Schizosaccharomyces pombe: one gene and its partners. The gene in region 3 interacts genetically with the main gene of each other region. Each region holds a gene or a part of one and is shown on either strand. Other genes may lie near its edges. The genes, in order: mcm4, rum1, cdc23 and mus7.

Region 1 (5,564 bases), on a different chromosome or scaffold from region 3:
CTGGTTGATGAATCATCCGTACCTCTACTGCTAGAATTATTATGTGAGTTGATAGTCCGAGTCGTATTCACAGGGTCAGCAATTAATTGATTGATTAAGGAAGCTGTTTCCTTGTCTTTTTCATCACTATACTCCTGCATCCAGTAAAAATGAATCTGCGAAGAGGATTTAAATTTTAGTGCATATACGCGTCCCGTGGTACATTCATCAATTTTGATAAACTCTGCTTCTTCTGGAAATATGATGTAGTCCTTCATTATATGTTAGTAAACATAAACCAAATTAAAAAAAAAAAAACGCAAAAGTAAATTTATATATATAAATAGGTATACTTTGCAATTGATTTAAATTGTCTTCATACATCTTCTACTTCTCTAGAAACCCTGGCCCTTTCTTTCCAATAGAAATGCAATAATTCATCAGAAGCCATTTGCATATAGATAACTCTAAACAAATGTCAGTATTAAAAATCAGATCTTTTAACTTTATAAACAGAAAACAATTCCACAAAACCCAACAGTGTGGATTTTCACGCATCCTTCCAACGTAAACATGCAAAGAAGCTTCATAAACAATTCTTTGGGTAGAATTTCGTTTTCCCAGTAGAAAGGACTACTATCTATATTATTATTATAGTACATACCCTTTTCGGTGATCAGCTTGCAGAATATTCGTTCCTGGCTTTCTTTGAAGTTTTCCAGCTTTTACGGAGACTAATCCATACTTTCCTCTCTCGCTAGTCTCGTTTCTTACTCTTCCAAAAACTGATTCCATTTGTAATTTATTTTTTGTCAACTCAAAAGCTCACGATTATTGACCTTGTGAATTGTTGTGGTATAGTTGAGTATGCAGTGTACACAGTGCAAGTGAGCAAAGTAATCCACACAAACGTATCATGTCTATAGACATGATTTCTCAAAATCATTTAATTTTCTAATTGTCGCCACTATAATCATCTTTTATCATGTAATAGACAATCTTTTTAGGTGGTTAACTGCTCTAATATTTGAAGCTGATTTATCAAGCCGCATTTGATGGTTTCGCCTAAAAAGATGTTTTAATAGCAAATTAATACTACACTTTAAAAGGAAAAGGAACGTTCCACTATGCAGTGGAATTCATCTCTTAAAGGGCCTTGAAAAGACATAAGCCAATTTTTGTATCATCGTTAATGGCATCAATAGTAAAACAGAATAAACCAGTTTTCACCAATTATACATAGAAGAAAATCAAGATACAATAAATGTCTATAATCCTTTCAGGTTTTGAAGAGCAAAACATAATCGAGAAAAAGTATGCGTCCTACACAATGGTATTTCACTAGAAATAATAGAAAAATACATTCATACACTATTTGAAATTCACACCATATAACTCATAATATACAGACTTAAGTTTTTTTTATTAGAGACAGTCCAGTAGTCGAATGGTCAAATGAACTCTACAAATGGTTAATATAATAACAACTCAGGTATTCAATATGAGAGAAAATTCAAAATAAACCTTATTTTAAGAAATATTATTAGTAAAATTACTAAATCACCATCTGCCCTCTTCAATTAGCGTCAAATCACAGTTAATAGATTCGACCTTCAAATACAACTGGTAGTTCCAAATTGCAAAAACGATCATCTCAAAATGTTAAACTAGCATAACGTTTAATTAAAGCAATGTAATCCTTTATTTCAACATTCTTTTCATATTTCTCTTCATTCGTCCAAAAAAATAGAATATCACTTAAAAGGAAGTAAGTCAATAACAAATTCATAATACCTTATTTATGATAACAAATTTGCTTTAATTGATCCTAATATCTAGTGTCGCAAAGTTTTTTAGTTTACATTTTCATAGTCAATTACTGGTAGCTTGATGATCAATGGAGAATATGACAAATTGTTAAAAAATTATACAAATTTCCAATTATTTAAATCTTTGCTATGCTATTTATCTCTTCATTGTTGTATGTTTATGAGTAGTTACTCTACTCCCTTACACTGTCTTTCTACACCCACCACGAGTCATGTCCTCTAGTCAGCAAAGTGGCAGAGCCAATGAGTTGAGGACTCCTGGAAGAGCTAACAGCTCTTCAAGAGAAGCAGTGGATTCTTCTCCGTTATTTTTTCCTGCTTCGTCTCCTGGTTCTACACGCCTTACAACACCGAGGACTACAGCGCGTACACCTCTCGCTTCCTCTCCTTTACTGTTTGAATCTAGTTCACCAGGTCCAAACATTCCTCAGAGTTCACGTTCTCATCTTTTATCTCAGCGTAATGACTTGTTCCTTGACAGTAGTTCGCAGAGAACACCGCGCTCGACAAGACGTGGAGACATCCATTCTAGCGTGCAAATGTCTACCCCATCTCGTCGAAGAGAAGTTGACCCTCAACGTCCCGGGGTAAGCACTCCTAGTAGCTTGTTGTTTTCTGGGTCAGATGCACTCACGTTTAGTCAGGCGCACCCAAGCAGTGAAGTAGCTGATGACACTGTCCGTGTCATTTGGGGAACAAATGTATCTATTCAAGAAAGTATCGCTTCCTTTCGTGGATTTCTACGTGGGTTTAAGAAAAAGTATCGACCTGAATACAGAAATGAACTTATGCCACCTCCTGATGCCGAACAACTAGTGTATATTGAAGCGCTACGAAACATGCGTATTATGGGTTTGGAAATATTAAATCTTGATGTTCAGGATTTAAAGCATTATCCCCCAACCAAGAAGCTATATCACCAGCTTTACTCATACCCTCAAGAAATCATTCCTATCATGGATCAAACCATTAAAGACGTTATGCTAGACTTGTTAGGAACTAATCCTCCCGAAGATGTTCTTAATGACATTGAGCTTAAAATTTACAAAATTCGTCCTTTTAATCTTGAAAAATGCATTAATATGCGTGATCTTAATCCTGGTGACATTGACAAATTGATCTCTATTAAAGGTCTGGTACTTAGGTGTACACCTGTAATACCCGACATGAAGCAAGCATTTTTTCGATGTTCAGTTTGTGGTCATTGTGTTACCGTGGAAATCGATAGAGGGCGAATTGCTGAGCCCATAAAATGCCCTAGAGAAGTCTGTGGTGCTACAAATGCAATGCAGCTAATTCATAATCGTTCTGAATTCGCCGATAAGCAAGTTATTAAACTCCAAGAGACACCTGACGTGGTACCGGATGGCCAAACCCCACACTCTGTAAGTCTGTGCGTATATGATGAACTGGTTGACTCTGCTAGAGCAGGAGATCGTATAGAAGTCACTGGGATTTTTCGCTGTGTACCAGTTCGTTTGAACCCTCGCATGCGTACTGTAAAATCATTATTTAAAACTTATGTCGACGTTGTTCACATAAAAAAGCAGGACAAACGTCGTTTGGGTACGGATCCTTCTACGTTGGAAAGCGATATTGCTGAAGATGCTGCTTTACAAATTGATGAAGTACGGAAAATATCAGACGAAGAAGTGGAAAAAATTCAACAAGTTTCAAAGCGGGACGATATATACGATATTCTTTCCCGGTCTCTGGCACCTAGCATTTACGAAATGGATGATGTTAAAAAGGGGCTTTTGCTACAGCTATTTGGTGGAACGAACAAGTCTTTTCATAAAGGCGCAAGTCCGAGATATCGTGGAGACATAAATATCTTGATGTGTGGTGATCCATCTACGTCTAAGTCTCAAATTTTGAAGTATGTCCATAAGATAGCACCCAGAGGTGTTTACACTAGTGGCAAGGGTTCATCTGCTGTTGGTTTAACTGCCTATATTACTCGTGACCAAGACACGAAGCAACTAGTCTTGGAAAGTGGTGCTTTGGTACTGTCAGATGGGGGCATTTGCTGCATTGATGAGTTTGACAAAATGTCCGATGCTACACGTTCTATTCTTCATGAAGTTATGGAGCAGCAAACCGTTACAGTTGCCAAGGCTGGCATTATTACTACTTTGAACGCTAGGACTTCTATTTTAGCTAGTGCAAATCCAATTGGAAGCAAATACAATCCAGACTTGCCTGTCACCAAAAATATTGATCTTCCGCCTACTCTCTTATCTAGATTTGATTTGGTGTATTTAATATTAGACCGCGTGGATGAAACGCTGGATAGGAAGCTCGCAAATCATATTGTTTCTATGTACATGGAAGATACTCCTGAACATGCTACAGATATGGAGGTCTTTAGTGTGGAATTTTTGACAAGCTATATCACATATGCTAGAAATAATATTAATCCTGTCATTAGTGAAGAGGCAGCAAAGGAACTAGTGAATGCTTATGTTGGTATGCGAAAGCTTGGGGAGGATGTGCGAGCATCTGAGAAAAGAATTACTGCTACAACAAGACAACTGGAATCAATGATTCGTCTATCTGAGGCCCATGCGAAAATGCATCTTCGCAACGTTGTTGAGGTAGGAGATGTTCTTGAAGCTGCTCGCTTGATTAAGACCGCTATTAAGGATTATGCAACTGATCCTGCAACAGGAAAGATTTCTCTTGACCTAATTTATGTTAATGAAAGAGAGACTTTGGTACCTGAAGATATGGTCAAAGAACTGGCGAATTTAATTTCAAATTTAACTGTGGGTGGAAAAACTATGTTGGTCAGTCAATTGTTAACTCGGTTTCGTGAGCAGAGTTCTACTCGCTTAGATGCTTCTGATTTCGAAGCTTGTCTGGGTGCTTTGGAAAGGCGAGGACGTATTAAGGTTATTACCAGTGCTGGACATCGCATTGTACGTTCAATTGCACAGACTGATTAATTTTTTAGCGAATAAGCTGGTATTATTCATGAGCCATAAACCATAGGTCGTTGTTGAAAATCAAAGACTACAGAGCATAATACGAATGTCTTTCTTGTTATATATACACACGTTCTTTTTGTTATAAAAATATTTTACATATTTATCGAGGGATCCTTAACATTCATTTTTCTTTTTTTTTTCGGCTTTTGAGTATGAACTGAACAATGAGTAAACATTATGAATATAAATTCGTTAATACCAAAGTTGAAATAATAATAATAATAATAATTAACATAAACTTTCAAAAAACTAACAGATATCTAAACAATCGTAACCAATAATTCGCCATGATTCGTAGAGGCAGTGTGTGCCTAATTTTAAGTATTTTCAACAGTAGTCAGATGTCATTAAAAGAAAAATGGATAGCAATTTAACCATCAATGTCTGCAGAAAATTCTCTGCAATAGGAATTATCTGTAATATCAAATTTATCGTCACTTGTATCCTTAACATCACTCAAGCTTGGTTTTCTAGAAAAGGGCTTTTGACGCTCACGCACATTCCAATTGAATTTATCTTCTAATACCTTGGTCCATTGGTATCCTGGATTTTGAATGGTTGTGAAAGGGTAATGAGACGTAACAATTGATAAATAGTCGCCTCTATGCATCTCCACAGATTCATGACGGTCAACGGAAAAGAATGCACTACTTCGAGAATCCAAAGGGATCTCAACGTTCAAAACATTGTAATCTGGTAAAATAATAGGACGGAAAGAAAGCGTATGAGGACAAACTGGTGTTACTAAAATCGCATTTAGTGCAGG
Region 2 (4,612 bases), 1.3 Mb from region 3:
GACCATTATTAGGAATCGAACTTGCTACGGATGGCAAGTTGGATGTTGGTATAGTAGGAGCAGAGGAGGTGGCCGATTTTGGAATTGCGGATTGGCGATGACTTGCAAAAGATGAAGAAGGAGTCCTAAGTGAGTTTGGGTTAGAAGTCGTAGCCATGCTAACCCGAGAACGCACATTCATGGATGAAGACCTTGGGAACATGGGAAGGCCTAGAAGGTACATATGAAGATGCGGCTCTTCTTGCAGGTCGGACCTTTGGATCTTTAGACCTTAATAACCTTTGCTGCTGTTGTTTTTGAAGAGCTATAGCTTCCTCTTTTTGCCTTCGTTCTTGTTCAAGTCGTTCTTGTTCTTGTTGTAATTCGATCTTTCTCTGCTCTTCGGCTTGTATTTGAAGCATTTTTTGATGTTGCAATCTTTCTAATTCTTCATTATCAAAAGACAAACCTTTCCAGTCGCTATTTAGTATTAGATTCTGAGTATGCTCCGTTTGGCTTAGAACCGATGACCATAATTGTATTAGACGATTCGAGTTGTTAATGGAGGTTTCGAATGACTTTATTTTTTCTTTAGAAGCAGAAAGACCATCCGTAAGCTTTTCTATAGTGTAATTAAAGCTCCTTAAAATCTGTAGTTCTTGTTGCAATTCAGATGTCATGTTCAAAGAAAAAGATAGACTATCCTATTAACTGAAGACAAGAAAAAATCACTAAAAAATATATAATTAACTCAAGTATAGAAAATAATTTCTTGTGTGCAATTTAAGCCTAACAAAGTATTCGATTGAAGATGTGCGAATTGTTTAAAGAAATTCAGTACAAAGAGTAGACGAAGGTTGTTTTTATTTTTTTTTACAAAAAATATAATAAATTAAATGAAACAGTTTGAAAAGAAAATTGCAGCGACTCCAGTTGTCCCTTAGAATAAGAACGATAGGAAATATGAGGCAGAGGTTAGTGTTTACACAGGCAGAGAAGAAGAAATGAATTGAATAAAGAGTTAGTTATGTGCATTACATTTTGATAATAGTTTTTGAAGAGGAAACATATTTTTAATTTTTAATTTAACGAACCTATCATTTTAATTGTTTCATTTGGCAAATGCATTGATACTATTTATTGTAAACAATAGGTAATGAAGCGTAAAATAAGTCATAACATGAACATTCATTTATGAATATTTTAATTATTGACCAATATGTTTATAATATTTTTTGATAAATTATGTTAGTAGCGTATTCCTTAAACACATAAATAAACATTGTCACGATTTAATTTTTAACAATTGTGATATATTTTGGAAATACTTAGCGATGTAGCAACCGTGTATTTACTTTGCATATTGCTGTTCCCATTTCGATTTGAAAATGGTGTTTGAAAGATAGTCGATTCTTCATAAATCCATTTTTCCTGCATTTGAGCTAAGGTAATAAATATTGCTTATACCATCAATTTGCTAATAAGGAACAATCTTAACGAAATATCCCTTGAATTAGTTTTGATAGTACTTGCTTTTAAATAACAATAAGAGACTTATTTCATTTACCATACTCGCGAAGTTTCTTCTTTATTAGAACTTCAAATGTAGTTTACTTTTATTTACGGTTTTGCAGTCATATATTTTTATTTTCGAACTGGAATATTTCTATGATGCTTAAAATTGTTAGTAAATTTTTTAGATTTTTGCTAAAGAGAACAGAAAATCGATTCTCATTTAAAATCTAACTACACATTTATGCAAAAATTGTACTTGATCAAAGTAATTAATTTAGCGTACTGCGTTACAGCCATCTAATAGTAATGGTTACCACGAAATGAGCAAATAACCAGTTAACCAGAACGTCAAACATACAGTTCTACTACTACATACATAAGCTTTGGGTTCCTTGACAGCGGTTGTTGCAAACTGAATTTTTTTGTTTTGGATTATATATAATATACAATCAATTGATCTTGTTTAGTCTTGATTCGTGTGTGTTTACTTGAGTGCTGCAGTAATATATTACTAAATTGTACGAATTTGGTCAAAGAGAATCCGCTTTTTTATCAGTTTTTTATTTTTAAAATTTAATTTTGAATTATACTCTTTACAAGGAACGGTAGCATCTTTATAAGAAATCGAGCATTCAATTTCTATGTGAAAAAGTTGAATTCGTCTAAGCAAACAACCAACTAGTTTTTAAATTCTAACATTAGAAAGAATATTTTTCCTTGTTAATTATTCTATTTACAATTTTAAAGTTGGCACATATCTTTTTTTGATTGGTTGATTCTTTGATATTTTAGCTGCACTTACTTCTTGGTATGAAGTGAAATTTTGCTTTTTAAAATAGACATTTTCCCATTCCCGTTTTCTAAAAGATTCCTTTTTTTTGTTTACTCCGAAAATTTCAATACCTTTCTTACAAGCTACAATCCCATTTTGTTCCTTCCTTTTGATATATTGAAGCCATTTCAATTGTTTCTATATTATTTCAAACAATTTTACAAATATTGTTTAAATTGTATAATTATCAAAGCGCAGTCGCTAGCTTGGTGGGTATTAAATTGTTACCTTTTCGTTTGCTACAGGTAACTTGTGAACATTTCTGGTGCTGAATTTTCCTACACCCAAAAACCATTGAAAAATACATTTTTTAAATCATATCGGAAAGCTTGAATACACGCTCTTCTGATAATCCGCTCGATACATAAAGGATTTCTTCTTGCATTTACCTGGTTTTTGGATTGTCAGTTCGCTATGGAACCTTCAACACCACCTATGCGAGGGTTGTGTACTCCATCTACCCCAGAGTCTCCTGGGAGTTTTAAAGGAGTCATCGATGCTTCGTTAGAAGGTAATTCTTCTATTATGATAGATGAAATCCCTGAAAGCGATTTACCAGCACCTCAAGTTAGCACATTTCCACCTACACCTGCTAAAACTCCCAAAAAGCAATTACTACCAAATTTAATGCTACAAGATCGGAGTAATTCTTTAGAAAGATGTATGGAAGAAGACAGAGAACACAATCCTTTTCTCAGTTCATCTGATAACCAGCTTTTGTCAAGAAAGAAGAGAAAGCCTACTCCTCCTCCTTCTGATGGTTTGTACTATGTTTTTCGGGGGAAAAGAATCAAGAAATCCTTCAGGCCTGGAACTGATTTATCTACTTTTAAGCCCAAACTCTTGTTTGCTGACTCGGCGCCTTCTTCTAGTTCAGATAACCCAACATCCTCTGTAGACCTTAATGACTATTCTCAAATTGGCATTCTCCCTCCAAACCTGAATTCTATTGGGAATAAAATGTTCTCGTTAAAATCAAGGGTTCCATCTTCCTCGTCAGGTTCCTTTGTTGCTCCCCCACCGCAAATGCGTTTACCTGCGTATTCATCACCACAAAAATCACGATCTAATACAAAAGATGAAAACAGGCACAATTTATTACGATAACTTTTTTTCGCATTTTGTAATTGTGTTTGATACCGTTTATATAAATGCCCAATCACGAAATACTCTTCTGCCTTATTCATGATAATCGTTCGTTTGAACTTTTGGTAGTAGATCAGAACCTCCTATTCTCTATTCTTGATGAAAATGCATTTTGACAAACGCTGGTCGTTAGTCATTCATGGTAATATCACCACAATATCACCACGATTTTCTTAATTGAGTATCTATAATTACATTTCCCCATCTTTCCATTTGTGCCTATTCATATTCCATTTGGCAACTTAATTTTTTATCGTCCTCCCGTGTCTGCCCTGAGCCATTGCAACTTTTTTTAGCAACCTTTTACGGCATGCTTTGAAATATTATACGTTTAACTTATTTCCTAATTTCATCCACTGAGCTTTTACTTTAAGACTTATACTAATATTACATGGCTTTCACAATTTTCTTTTCTTTGTTCAGAGAGTGAATATATTCTGAAATGTTGTATTTATCGATTAGTTAATAATGCTATTCGATTTCTAAATTTTTTGCTGGTTTGGAAACTATAGTCTGTTATTCTCAATAACTAGTTTTATATTCAATTGTTTTATCCCAGTAATAAAAAGGTATTTTTATACCGCATATACAATACTATTCTAGGCTTCTTAGACAGTTATACACATTACGGTATTGCTGTTACATTGAGTTAATTTGTGGTTTGGTGATATAGTGAAGTTTACTAGCTGGTACTGAAATCCTACAAATGGATAACAAAACTGGTTCTAAGCGTATGAAAGGAGTCTTTGGGTAAAATTATAGTGTAATATCGTTTCGTTCATTGAAGTAATAATTAGGCCTAACCGACTCTACTTGACTAACATTTTTTCTTCACACCATGAAGCATGATGAATAATGTATTTATTTATGTTACCTGAGCGGTAAGATGATTTGTTTACATAATGTCACTTTTATTTACATTTGCACTGCAAAATGACAACAAGGAAGCCACTTACATCACAGTGAAGTTCGTTAAAAATTCGTAACTCTTATATTTACATGGTACCCGTGTTTCTCCCCTCTACCATACTGAGCATATAAAATAACACAAAAGTTAGTGAATCATTTTGTGGCATATCCGAACACTCCTTAGCTTTTTACGAAGCAAAACAAGAAACGATTAATAATATCATCTATCTT
Region 3 (5,038 bases):
TATCGAGACGTCAGCGAAGAAAGAAAAAAAAAATTTTCTTAACTAATTAAACCAACGAATAAAAAATTTTTTTTCTGAAGATGACCGTGTTGATCAAACCAATATTCTTTATTGTTCACTAAAAAGAATATCAAAAGAAGTATTTAGTAGTAGCTAAAATGTATTAACTTTTTACTTTAGAATGTCTCGCAATTGACTTTGATTAGACACTGTTTAGGTGGGACGCAACAATTGTTGGATGGCGAGGTCTCTTAGATGGAAGCCCGCATTTATATAGTTTTAGACTATTTATTTGCCTTTTCCTTTGTGACGAATTCAGATAGCTTTCCTTACTGATAAGAATGCGATACCCGTTCCATACGGCGCAACGTTAAAATAGGCGACTAGCAGTGTAAAGTCCGATACCTAGACGAAAGCAATCGTAAGCTAAAGGTGTCGACAGTACCTCAGTTTGGCTGGCTATCTTAGTATTGCTTACAAGCCCATCATACCATATGAAAGTAAGCTTACGTTCGTTTGATTAATAAACAATGTGATGTCAAAAGCTGTAACGGCCGTTCTTGTATGAGAGAGAAGCTAGCAGAACAAAAAAGGGAGACTTCGCACATTGAATTCAAACAGTTGACATCACAAATGAAAAGAGCGACTGTGTTTAATAAGCGTTTCAAATATTCCATTGGGATTTACTAAGGATTAGGATTTAGAAGAAAGGTTTAACAAAGGGTTGAAAGTTTCATGATAGCAAAGTGTGTCGCATGTAAACAAAAGAACATTCATTTGAAATCATAGCTATATCCATTAGCTAGCTAATTAATTAGTAAGTTGGTTAGTAATTTAAATAATTAATTTTCATCATAATGTATAGAAAAACAACGTAAAATTCAGGGAACTATTTCTAAGTCATCCTCATCATCACTCTCAGTAAATTCATATCGGAATTTGATATTTTTTAGGGAGCCGGATCGTGAAAGTCCAGTCGCTGTGGAGTGCGTTGTAGATGCATCTGCGGAATGCGTTGGATCGAAACCTATTTTTCGTAGACTTTGGGGGGAAAAAATCCTCGGCGAAGAGGTAAACACTACCGCTGGGGAAACTTTGGTGGATGTAGTATCTTGTGGAACGGGTGTCCCTGATGCCGCATCGTTAGTGCCGAGAATAGCAGAGTTAGAAAAAGATGGTAGAGAGGATTTAGGGTTCATTATAGATGCATTAAAAGAGGCCAGAACGGATGGTTTTTTCGTCGATGAATCAATTTCGCTATCTTTAGAAAGAGCAGTGGGATTACCCTTGTCATGTAAATTTTTAACGCCGGAACCTTGTAAATTTAGATACTGATGGCCGAGTGTTCGCATCGACATTCCCGTAGAGAGGTTATTCGAGTTAGAGCTAGACGAAGAGGAAGCGCAACATCGCTTCGATAATCGCACCAAAATTTCACGCTCGCGTTCAGCCTGCGCTCGTTGTTTTTTGTATCGTTCCTTGCGCTCCCTCTCGGTCTGAACGGCGTCTTCTGCATCATACAAACCAGCTACTGCGTTAGGAATTGCGGAATACTTTTCCCCAGCAAAGTATCCTTGGAACCCTTGTCCACGAAATCGCTTTTCACGTCGTGCGCGAGGCTCGTGCATAGTCGCCATACTTGAAGCAAACTCCGTTCGCGTAGACATGGACCGCTGGACAGCGAGGTCAACGTGATATTCACATACATCTCCGGCACGCTTGTCGAGCCAATGTTTACATAGTTCACCGCTTTTTCTTCGGCTGGAACAATAGCCAAGGTGTTTGGAGCGACCAATCTCTAAAAGTACATCGTACTCAGAATCCAGCTTCAGAGAAAAGCGTCCAATGTCTGGGTTCTTTGGCTTTAGTACTTCAGGATTGAGAAGCGCAATGACAGTACCACTCTGGATCTTCCAGTATCGTTCAAACGCCTTTCCAAACAGGAAGCACTCCAGTTGCCATTTCAAGTCAGTCAGTGTTAGCATACAATATTTATTCCCATTCACAGTTTCTCTGGTTCCACTATTACTGGCAACAATGCCCATAACTACATAGTTGTCAACTTCTGGCGCTTCAAATTTAGGAGCTCTTACTAGTTTGAGTAGTTGGTGAATGAGATAAACTTGATTTCCCCCTATATTTTCCTTAGCAACCTCATCACTTATGTATCGAATAACAATGGCTTGTCTTGAATAAGGATCGATTTCATCACATTTCATAGGAAATTTCTCCTCTTCACTTTTTCCATCTTCAAGTATGTTTCGCTTCCTCTGGAACGATTGCTTTCTATTTTTTTTCATCGTTTTCAATTTATCGCTCCTCTTCCTTTCTTGGTTCCTTGCCTCTGCAAGTCGTTCGTGAAATGGTTTTGGTAGAGGCCCTCGAGGCCCTTTTCCTAATGAAACATCTTTCCCCGTCTTTCCTTTATCGATTCCTAATATCAATCGCTTGGGACTTTTTAGTTTACTAGGCGAGCTGACTGTAAGGACACGAACTTGCTGAGGAGGAGATCTTGGAACCTGAATAACTTCAGCGTTCTCCGAAGAAGCCTCCTTTTGAGCACTTCGTAGACGCTTCTTTTCTTGAATTTCATTTAGCTGCCTCTGTAACCTCTTTTCTTCCAGGTCCAAGTCATTTTCTTCTGCAATGAAGGGATCATGCATACTTGCATTAATTAAACTTGGTTTCCTCTTAATCTTAAACCTCCAAAGTCAATGATAAAAAAAACCCCCCGCCTGTTAGATATAGTCAATTTCTCACGAATACTGAAACTTTTCAACCCAACCCTAGAAAACTAGCTTTTCAGGAAATTAAAAAAACTCTGATCAATAAAATTTTCTTCTCTATTGTATGAGTAGCCAAAACAAATAACAGGATAAATTTAATACTGCCACATTTGTATTTTGAAATGCGAAGATATTGTTGAAAAGTTTAGTGCCAAAAACAGGAAATTCTTTAGTCCTGGAAAAGGAAGCAAGTAATAATTATAAATCTTTTTAACAAGATATTCTTATTTTCCAATACTTAAAAATCGCGGTTAAACATATAGGAATGTAAACAGTTAGCGGACATCTAAAGGACATGTGTTTAAGGATGCAAAATGTAGTGCATAAACAAGCATAATGTGCAAAATTAAATCCTCTCTATACTACACATGCTATAGGTAAACAACATAACTGCAGTTTGAATAATAAAAGGTTAAAATAGATGCGCTAATTTAATGAGTATACACGTTCGATATCACGAATTCATTTACATAATATAAACTTACGATATTTGTCTATATAGAATCATAAAAGATGTGTCTACAGTATTCAAATGCATATAGTAACTTATTTAAAAGGGGTATTTTGAACAGTTAAATTTTAAACGTCGAACTTTTTTTTACATTTGGTGGAAGAGATTGCCTAGTTTCCGTTGTCTATTCAAATTTGCGCTTAATATTAAAATCTTTGTGACAACAGTTGGCCAGTTCTTTTGAAACCAACTTATGAAGAAAAATCATATAACGAAATTTCCAGTATTGTATAAAAAAAGCCTGTAATCCCACATAATATTTGGTTGATCATATTCGAAATTGTCGTTTCAATGAAGTTTAGTCCTTTCTGAATGCTCAGTATGTAGTTTCGTTTAAATGAATCACCGGGACTCACAGTGTTATAAGTTATCATAAGCTATCAATTTAATGGACATCAATACTTGTTTAAATGAAGCAATTCCTGGTCTGATTGCTTCACCTTCTAAAATCGGGTACCCAGACCATTCATTTGTTTATCCCTAATTAAAAATTAAGGGGATCATGTTTTGATACCACTAATAACCATCAGCTGTAATTTTACCTCATACAGCTTCTCTCCGTTAGCTAAATCTAAGGTTTTAGCGTCTTTTGACTGGGTTGACCGTTGATACTTAGCTTCATCGACCCACACATTTGCCTGAGCTTTACCAATGACTTCAGCGTTTGACAAAGATGCATTTTTGAATAAATTCAAAATTGATTGCGGAGTAAATCCACCATGATGAGCTACGCCAAGCTTAGCTATTTCATCAGGATGCAAATTACCATGAAAAGTATCACCCCCCTTTATTAAATCTGCGACAAATAATCGACCATTAGGTTTTAAAAGTTTAGAAAGCTTATTAGTCACTTCCTGTAGGTCCTTGATATGATGATATGCCATGGAGCATACAACAGCATCAAATTCAGTAGAAAATGGTTCATCGCCGTTGCCATCCAAATCATCCAAACTTAAAACATATGCACAGGCTCTTTCTTTGGGAATGTTCATCTTTCTAAATTTTTCATTATAAACGTCCACCATGTCTTGGGAAACGTCTATGCCAACAATTTGTTTACAGTAAGGGAACAGGTGTTGGCTAATTAAACCAGTTCCACAAGCAAAATCCAATATACTCATACCACTTTTCTTCCAAAAATTATTTACATTTGTCAAATCATCATCCGAAGTTAAAAGCAGCCTATCTTGATCATATTTTGGGAGATCATGTCTTAGGCTGGTTTCGGAATTGTCTTCAAACTGTAAAATTTTTGAAGAAATCACTTTGGAAATCGCCAAGGTACTTGGATTGTCATATTTCGATGCTTCTATTTTGTTGTAATGAGACACGTTGGCATAAACTATATCCGACATGATATTTTAGTTCCTTTTATATTGTTAATGAACGGTGAAGTCTTGCTAATAGGAATATTAAAAAAAAAGATAATCAAGGACTATCTTTAAATGGTTATGACTGAAAATTTATGTCACAAGGTACCACGATTATGAAAGATTAGCACAATTTCCCTTTTTATGATTAATATAACTAAAACTTATTAAGCGAGAATTTGTTTAGAACTATTATTGGATGTTAGACAGAAAAGAGCCTGTTAATATAGAAACTTCAGTAGCTTCTTATTTTAACTAAATTATTGTATTCGACAGATTAGGATTCCTGTGACCGTCCTTTTGCTTTTGTATAACGCTCATTTTTGTATTACCCTAATACCCGAATTTTGTAAATAAGCTTGGACTTTTTA
Region 4 (7,979 bases), on a different chromosome or scaffold from region 3:
ATAATAGAAATACATTATATTTTACTGGTCAAATTAGACCACAGTCATGTGATAATAAAATTACGTACATTAATGGATGTACTAGTAGCAAAAAAAAAGAGCTCTAAGCAAAAGAAATATGCAGAACTGGATTATTTCATTGTCTAATTATTTTGTATACAACAAGAGATAATTAATAAATGAGTTTGTGTATTACACAGACATCAAATGAAATATTAAAAATAAATAAAATAAATAAAATAAACAACGTGGAAACCAAAAGCAACCACAACTGAAAAATCTTTTAATTTTGGCTTTTAAAACAATACAATATCAAAATCATTCTCTTCAGTCATCCAAGAATAGCCGATTTTATCCAAAAAGCATTTGATTTTTGTCGGTAACCCACTCATGTCAGGTGCATAACTGCAAATTACATTGAGAAACCTATCTAATTCAGGCTCTAAAAAACCTTTATCGTGTTTCCATATTTGAATAGTAACTTCCATTAAACCTGACCAGTATTCTTCTTCCTGTTCCACCTGAGAAGGCAAAACTAGTTTTTTCTTCCTAGACTTATGTACAATATTGGTAACGTTGTCGTACCAATCCGCTGAGCAATGTTGCTGAATAGTTTTAACAAATTTGCTACGACAATCAACAGTATTGTAAGGAGGGGGAAACTCAGACCCTTCAATATTCCAACATAATTCAAGAAGGAAGTCTCGAGCTATGCGAGCTAAAAAATTCTGTAAGTTACATATTAAACTAGATGGCAATCCACTGGTTTTGTTTGTCATGCTTATAGCCACAAATGAAGAAATAAGGTAATATATTCTCCCAGAAAGTAAAGGGCGTTTGTTTTCATATAATAAAGCATATTTCTCTAAATCAGCCACAAAAACAGAAATTTCTTCACACAGTAACTGTTGAATGTAAGGTTGCAAATATATACGTCTAAAGCTGTTGTAAGTTCGGCTTAGACCCTCCAGTAGTAACAATGAATAAAACATAGCTGCTAACGAGCCTTCACCAAGGTAACTCAATAAAAGTTCCTTTACACAAAATTTCCGAAGAGAAGAAATCTCGACATCCCATTTGCTGGAGCTATTTTGATTATGGAATCCCATAGCCAGCCTTAAAAGATTAGAAGTTTCAGTTTGCTTTTGTTCTAGCAGAGCAACATCAAAATTTGCTTTTAGGAAACTAAACAAAGCATTTTGAGAAGCTGAATTTGTGAGAGTTTTTCTCGCATAACTTCGTAACCTCAAGGCCGTATATTCGAGACGCTCCGGTGGTTGGGGGAACTTAGTTGAGTCCATAAAATATCTGAGGGCAGGAAGGTTACGATCATTTGCAAATTGACTACAATACTGTAAAATGTCTCCGACAACACGTTGTGAATTAATAACAAACAAAGAGTGAGTATCAGAAGAATGACCATTTGTCTCATAACTATGCTGCATAGAAGACAGTAGAGAGGATAGGTAATGAATAAACAAGCTCTGTAAATATTGAGAGCTCGCGAAACCATTTGTCTTGGCATCAGCATACAGTTTTGCCATGTTGCAAAACACAGCTGTTAATAAATTCAAGTGAACCGACTTAAAGTAATTTATACTAATTTCCTCAATTTTGACGGATATCGGTAAATTAAGCAAAATAGGATTTTTTAGGTTTTTCTGTAATAACAAAATCGTAAATTGTGCAGCATGATCCTCATCTAAAGCGCCCAGTGATTCAAACCATACAGTTAAGACTTTTTCCTCATGTTTTTTAATAAAAGAATCATTATAAGATATAAGGAAGGAATAAAACGTGGTACTGAGAGATCTTTTCAAAGGAGTGTTACGAATCCTTTCCCAAGACTCAGACCCAAAATCGATATAGTAACTCCAGTCATTGATTTTCGCTTCTACAGCAAAACTAGCACAAATTGCCATGCACTCCATTAATGGTAAAAGTAAAATACGAATATAATTTTCTTTGTCCTCGTCATTTCCAACGAGATAAGATATCGTTTGATACAAAAAGGGTGAAACAAATGTTCTCAATATTTGAGCCACTTCGTATTTACGTTCAAACTTTTCTTGTTCTAAAATGAGTGTGTTATCATCCAGCACATCAGAATCAAAGTAAGCATCTTGACTATCATGCGAAGTGCTACCAACAACGGTAACCTTAGGTGGCTCTGTATTAGATTGATACTGCAAAAACTTTTTTAGAAATAAAATACACTCCAGAGTAACGCGAGGAGGAAAAAAATGAGAGTCTTTAAGAATGCGCCGGCATGACTGCTCCGTCACCAAAACGTTTATCCTACTAATATAAACTGAAGAATTGGGAATTAAATCTTGAAGGGAATGGAAAGCTACAATTAGCGCATTTTCAAGTTGATGTTTCGAGTATTCAGCCAATTGCATCTCACCAACAGAAGTTCCATTTGAAAAGAGAGCAAGATATTCATCAAATGTAACTTTTAAAATGGAATTAAACCACTCCATTCCCTGAGCGAGTTCATAATCAGTTCCCTCTTTTATCACATACTTCATTAGGTGAAGCCATGCTTTTAGACTAATTAAACGTGCCTTAAGATGAGAATTATCGACGATTACAATATCCCTAATGCGATTTAAACTGGGCCTACAATTCTCGGGTGCTGCCCAATAAAGACAAATAAGAAGAGTGTGAGTATGTTCCAAAGACATAAAGTCCTTAATTGAGAATGGACTTTCTCGCGTGTATTGACGTGAATGTAAGGGCTGTAATCTGGATACTATCCTCTTGATTGAATTTGTATTTTCATCTACTTGCCTCAAACGGCTTATAGAAATTAAAATAACTTTTAAATAAATTACAAAACATGTATCAAGAGCAGTTACATGAAGATTTGGAGGTCTGTCAAGTGACTTAACAAAATCAGGAAAGTCAGTTGGTGTATCTTCAGATATTTCAGAAGAAAGGTCATTAAACTTTCTATGGCTAAAGAAATCGAATATCAAAAATAGGATTTGAGCCACATCCTCCCAACGCCATTCAGATATGAGAAAATGAATTCGAAGAAACACTGTGCGAAGGTATCGCTCAACCACTTTAACATTGTGTCCGTCCTTATGCATTTTAAATGCACTTTCTGAAACTCTGATTATCAGTGGCCAAAAACTATTGTTTCCTGGTGAATGAGTCGTTCCATTAAGCCCAATTTGGAAAACGGGATTGAGCGTCATTATAACATACCAAATTTTTTCCATTTCTAATATAGACAACTCCTTTTTTTGAAGATCAAAAAATGAATTCACCTGTTCCCACAAAGCATATTTCTTCTTATATACATGAAAAAGAATATGATTTAAAATTGACCAAGATTCCAAAAAAAGAGTGTCAATTACAGTCGTATCTGAAGCTTGAATTCTCAAATTCCGATAACATTCCAATAGACCAGATTGACCAGCAGAAAGAAGTTTTGAAATCAAATCACTTGCCAGCCAGGAAACTTTATTAATGTTTTGCTGATTTCCAAGTTCAAATTCACAATAAAATACAACTTGAAAAGTTTGAAACAACACAGCTATTTTTTCAACCAATTGTGATCTATTCAACCCCGATATAGAAGAAACACGATCATTGACTAATGCATAGGTTTCTAAAAAGGAGGAAGCCAAGTTAACCAAGCCCATTGATACTTGAGAATGAAGAATAAACGCAGAGCAAAAAGAAAGTAGATTGTACAAGTCAACAGTTTCAGAGTTTGTAAAGTATGGAAGATTTTCTAAGACTGTCTCAAAAGTGTCTTTTAATTTTTCGAATGTTTTAAAAACATCATCCTGGATATTGAATAAACAAGAAAAAGCATAAACAGACTTAAAAGGATGTGTGACGATGTCCAATTGAAGAATAGAATTTAACCCTTGGGTTTTTATAAAGGAGTTGTTGGGCAAACTAAGTCCCGGTCTAAAAGTTATGACATTAAATGTAGTAGACCAAATACCTATATTCCAAAAAGGATTTACATCTGTAAAATAATTAGGGTTTGAAGAGGATTGAAAAAAGACGGTGTCAAAATCGTCTCGTATAAATCGTTGAGCCTTCTGCTTTCTTGAAGACTTGCGGATCTCAGTATTTACTTGGGGTACAGCTAAAGTCCCCTCATAACAATCATGTTCTCTTTCCTTTGAGTTTAATTCAATATTGTCCCTAATGTAATGGTCTAATTTGGCAACTTTTTGGCATTTGTCATGTACTGTATGAGTCCTTTTTAACTTTTTGGATTTTTTGTATGAAACGTTATTAGAAAAAAGAGAAGAAAATAGCTTTCTTTTTTTTAAGAGTTCCTCGCTAAAATTTTGAAGATGACTCAAACCGTTATTTGCTGCTGTTTTAGCGTTAATATTTACACTATGCTTTTTAGAATTAACAGAAAAAATATTTCCACCAACTGACTTAGAATCTGAAGGCTTTTTGTAAGAATGAGATTGTTGAACAAGCTCATGTTTACCTGAATACCAATCAGAAAGAACTTGATCAATAACTTGGCGATCGGATTCTTTGTCGAAGGAAAAATACTTTTTGGAATCCATTTGTCTTTTTCTTCTAATCATTTTTGGAATATGAGATGAACTTCGAGCAAACACCCTCAAAAACTTTGGCGCCTTTTTCCCATACGATTCAAGGATAAGGTCTGGTAATTTTTCCACTTCGACATATTTAAATCTATTTTTTTTCATTTTGGTTTTAGTTGTGCGATAGACAGGAATAGTAGAAACAGCATTGGCTGCTACATTTAGCTGAAAGGGGTTTTCCGACGTCAAAGAACTTGATTTTTTAAGAGCGGATAAACTTCTTTTAGGAAGCCATAATTGATCAACCACATCTTCTTTCAACCAGCCATTATCACGAGAAATTGAATCTAAAAACTCGCTGGTGTCAAACCGTGAATCATCAGTTGGTGTTGGCGTAGAAATGCTATTGTCAGAATCCGATATTTCGTTTCCTAATTCACTAGATAGTTTAGCTGTCGATCTAGGATGCAACTTCCGTCGAGCCACACCTTTTATTTTTTCTCCCTCAATAACACTCTTGTGTAATGATGTCTTTTTTTTGACACCTCTATTTTCCAATTTTTTTTTTTCTTGAAGAGTTAGAAATGATGGTGGTAAAACTCCTCGTAATCTTTTCTTTAAAGTTTTCAAATTCAGATCACTCACAGTAGAATTCGATGAGATATTTGTCATAGACTGATCCGAATCGGAAAGTAAAGACTCAGATTCTAAAGCCTCTTTGCTAGTTGAGGTTTTCTTTCCTTCAATAGTAGACGACAATGCGAGGTCATTGTCAGCTGTATTCAGATTAGATTCCTTTGAATGATCTTGCTCAGTATTAGACTCATCATCATCGCTATCAGATATTACAGCTCCATACCTTCTAAAGCGATGAGTAGAGGTCAAGGGTGGTTTACGTGAAGAAGCACGATTACGAACTATAACATTTACAGGTTTATGAGAGGACTTAGAAGTAATAGATCGATCAGAAGAAAAACCATGCGGTACGGTGATGGGTACCAAGCCTATTCTTTTAAACTCTATTTGATGCCTTAAGAAATCGTAAGTATAAGGCCGGGTTTGCTCAGGACGTCTAGGGCGAAAATCTCTTTTAACAACAACCGCTTCGTGTTCGGCATCTTTTTTAAAAACCTCAGTTCGTTTGTTTTCTTCTTCCCTCTTTGTTTCAGCTAAATTTTGATCACTTTTTTCAAAAGAAACATTCCTATTCAATTCGGGCAATGAAGACACCGATGACTTTGTAGAACCGATGGTGGTTTCATTGTTCAGAATTTCTAGCTTATTTTGATTTTTTTCTTTAGTAGCCGGCGTAATTCCATCGTATTCATTTCCACGTTGTGAAATTAAAGACCCATGAGTATTTGACCATTCACTTCCAGAATCCTGAGAGTCAGACACATGGTCAAGTAAAAGGAAACTATTCATCCTACAAACCCATGGGAAAGATGGTATTACATAAGAGGGCTTAGAAGAGTTCTTTCGATTTTAAAAAGTGTCTATATGGAGGTCCTGTTGCATACTCCAGTTAGCAAAATAGAAACACCATTGAGTAACAAGGAATAGGTAACATTATTAAATACCTAACAAAAGCCGCAAATATTAAAAGATAAATTGCTTAAATGGGCTTTAAAAACAAATATTGAAAGTATAAAAAGTCTATCTTCTATTAAAACATATTAAATTTCAGACATATAAAAATTTTAAAGTCAGTTCGTTTAGCCAGTTCATTAGAAGATCTTCGGATTCATCTTGTGGCTTTATGAGAGAAATAATGGAAATCATCTGGACGAGTAAAATCTGCTGCTGAGTATTCAATTGAGGAATTTCAATGAATCGATTTGTCTTTTTCAGCTTTGGCATTACAACAAATTTACGAAACACCCAAATAGAAAACAGTTTCAAATCTATATTAGCACTCTTTTTTAACCAGTACGTTTTCATGGGCTCTTCAAATAATTGAGCAATCTCAAATTTTGCAAAAGTAACAGGCAAAAACGTAGCTTCGATATACGGCAATATTTCTAAATAAAAAATCGACCACACCTCAACAAGATAGTGTAGAAAGGAAGACTCATTGCTATTCATACCCAGCAATGAAATGTCAATTATCAGTCCAATTCGCATATTTCCCAAAAGCTCTTCAAAATCGCTTATTGCTTCGCAAGCGCATATACACCGCAGCACTAAAAAATTTAAATCTTCGATAATAACCTTTTTTTTCCAATTCTTCTTATCCTGTTCGGTGTAACGATGTTGCGGAAATATTGGTCTCATAGCAATGTTTAATTGTTTCCACGCTACCAACACAGTTAGCGGTCTTAGTTTATCAATTGCAGTTAATCGATGCGACATTTTATATCGCTTGAGAATAGAGAGTTTTCCCTTGTCAATAGATGGATGAGAGACTAGAGATCCATTAGAAACGATTGAAGCATCAGATATCGTCTTCCTTCTTTTTTTTTTAGACTTTACCGAATCTAAGTTAGATGTAGTGGTTCGATTTTCATCATTGTGAAACAAAAAAAAACAAGGGCATTGAACTTTGATAGTCGTTAACCCTAAATAAATTTTCCATTTATCCCTCAATTTCATTTCTAGCTTTTTTAAATATTAGACAATGGTAGATTTTAAAAGTTGAAATTCGTTGTTTGCATTTCTGTATCGCAGGCGTAAGTTACGTCAATAGATTCAATTACTCTATAAAAAATAAGCTTAATTTAACGAACTTGACAAAGGCTATATTTAATAACATGCGTCACGCACACTAAATAAATAATACAAAATATGAAACAGTATCACGTTAATTTTCGGATTTCTATTTTTCCAAGGTCCATTGTCGATGACTAAGTTTCTTTATTTCATGAACTTTTTTTTAAAGCCAATTTGAGCATATGCTACACCAAAAAAATGTGTATGGTCGATTTCCATGGCTCAAAGTTGTGAATATATTCATCGCTTTTGTAATACCTGCAATTCTACTATATGTTATGCTACATTATGCTTGTCTATCGCTAAATATCATATGTTAGAATATTAGCTAAGGTGTTTTTATTGGTAATTGAGAATAACTATTCTGTATACAAAAATACCCGCTGGTAACATCTATTAGATAATTACGAATAGAAGCTATAACTGAACTGAGGAACGAGGTTCAGCTGTAGGCAATATTAGTGATGGCTAAAAATGTAATCATATAGAATACTAATAACAAGTTGCTACTTACATTACCAGTATAGTGCAATATAATAGATAACAAGGAGATTTCGACGTAATCCAACGTATCGTTACAACAGATAACAAACTGCGTAGCTGATATAGGAATCCTAATAATATTTTATTCTTGGTATATTTAATAAATAATGTTGAGATGCTAAATCAACAATTCAATGAAGCCATCAATTGTCACAAAGCGTTTAATGCATTTTTAATTATTCATATTTG

Evidence for each region.
Region 1: mutations in cdc23 (region 3) and mcm4 are lethal when combined (synthetic lethality), as found in Schizosaccharomyces pombe (2 studies listed by BioGRID, with this or other methods).
Region 2: of cdc23 (region 3) and rum1, changing one suppresses a phenotype caused by changing the other (phenotypic suppression), as found in Schizosaccharomyces pombe (one study listed by BioGRID).
Region 4: mutations in cdc23 (region 3) and mus7 impair growth when combined (synthetic growth defect), as found in Schizosaccharomyces pombe (one study listed by BioGRID).

Annotation. Positions count from the first base shown.
Region 1 is NC_003421.2:898,382-903,945, forward strand, and holds mcm4 (MCM complex subunit Mcm4/Cdc21), read left to right. Parts: upstream 1-2,006; 5' UTR 2,007-2,020; coding exon 2,021-4,756; 3' UTR 4,757-5,044; downstream 5,045-5,564. Other genes in the region: 19S proteasome regulatory subunit rpn1302, read right to left, coding at 1-251, 362-446, 644-774; SPOM_SPCC24B10.02C (NAD/NADH kinase), read right to left, coding at 5,169-5,564. UniProt on the Schizosaccharomyces pombe protein: Acts as a component of the mcm2-7 complex (mcm complex) which is the putative replicative helicase essential for 'once per cell cycle' DNA replication initiation and elongation in eukaryotic cells.
Region 2 is NC_003423.3:2,797,849-2,802,460, forward strand, and holds rum1 (CDK inhibitor Rum1), read left to right. Parts: upstream 1-1,828; 5' UTR 1,829-2,740; coding exon 2,741-3,433; 3' UTR 3,434-4,069; downstream 4,070-4,612. UniProt on the Schizosaccharomyces pombe protein: Regulator of cell cycle G1 phase progression. Ensures the correct sequence of S phase and mitosis in the cell by acting as an inhibitor of the cdc2 mitotic kinase. Probably interacts with cdc2 to inhibit its action until the cell mass for Start is reached.
Region 3 is NC_003423.3:4,077,064-4,082,101, reverse strand, and holds cdc23 (MCM-associated protein Mcm10), read right to left. Parts: upstream 3,046-5,038; 5' UTR 2,664-3,045; coding exon 882-2,663; 3' UTR 538-881; downstream 1-537. Other genes in the region: SPOM_SPBC1347.09 (hexaprenyldihydroxybenzoate methyltransferase), read right to left, coding at 3,798-4,652. UniProt on the Schizosaccharomyces pombe protein: Required for DNA synthesis. Required for entry into or completion of S phase. Involved in DNA replication and seems to participate in the activation of the pre-replication complex (pre-RC) and in transcription elongation.
Region 4 is NC_003424.3:2,408,008-2,415,986, forward strand, and holds mus7 (DNA repair protein Mus7/Mms22), read right to left. Parts: upstream 6,041-7,979; 5' UTR 5,964-6,040; coding exon 297-5,963; 3' UTR 129-296; downstream 1-128. Other genes in the region: HbrB family protein involved in TOR signaling Bit2, read right to left, coding at 6,222-7,130. UniProt on the Schizosaccharomyces pombe protein: Involved in protection against replication-dependent DNA damage. May act by restoring active replication forks, repairing unusual DNA structures, and/or preventing aberrant DNA rearrangement at arrested replication forks.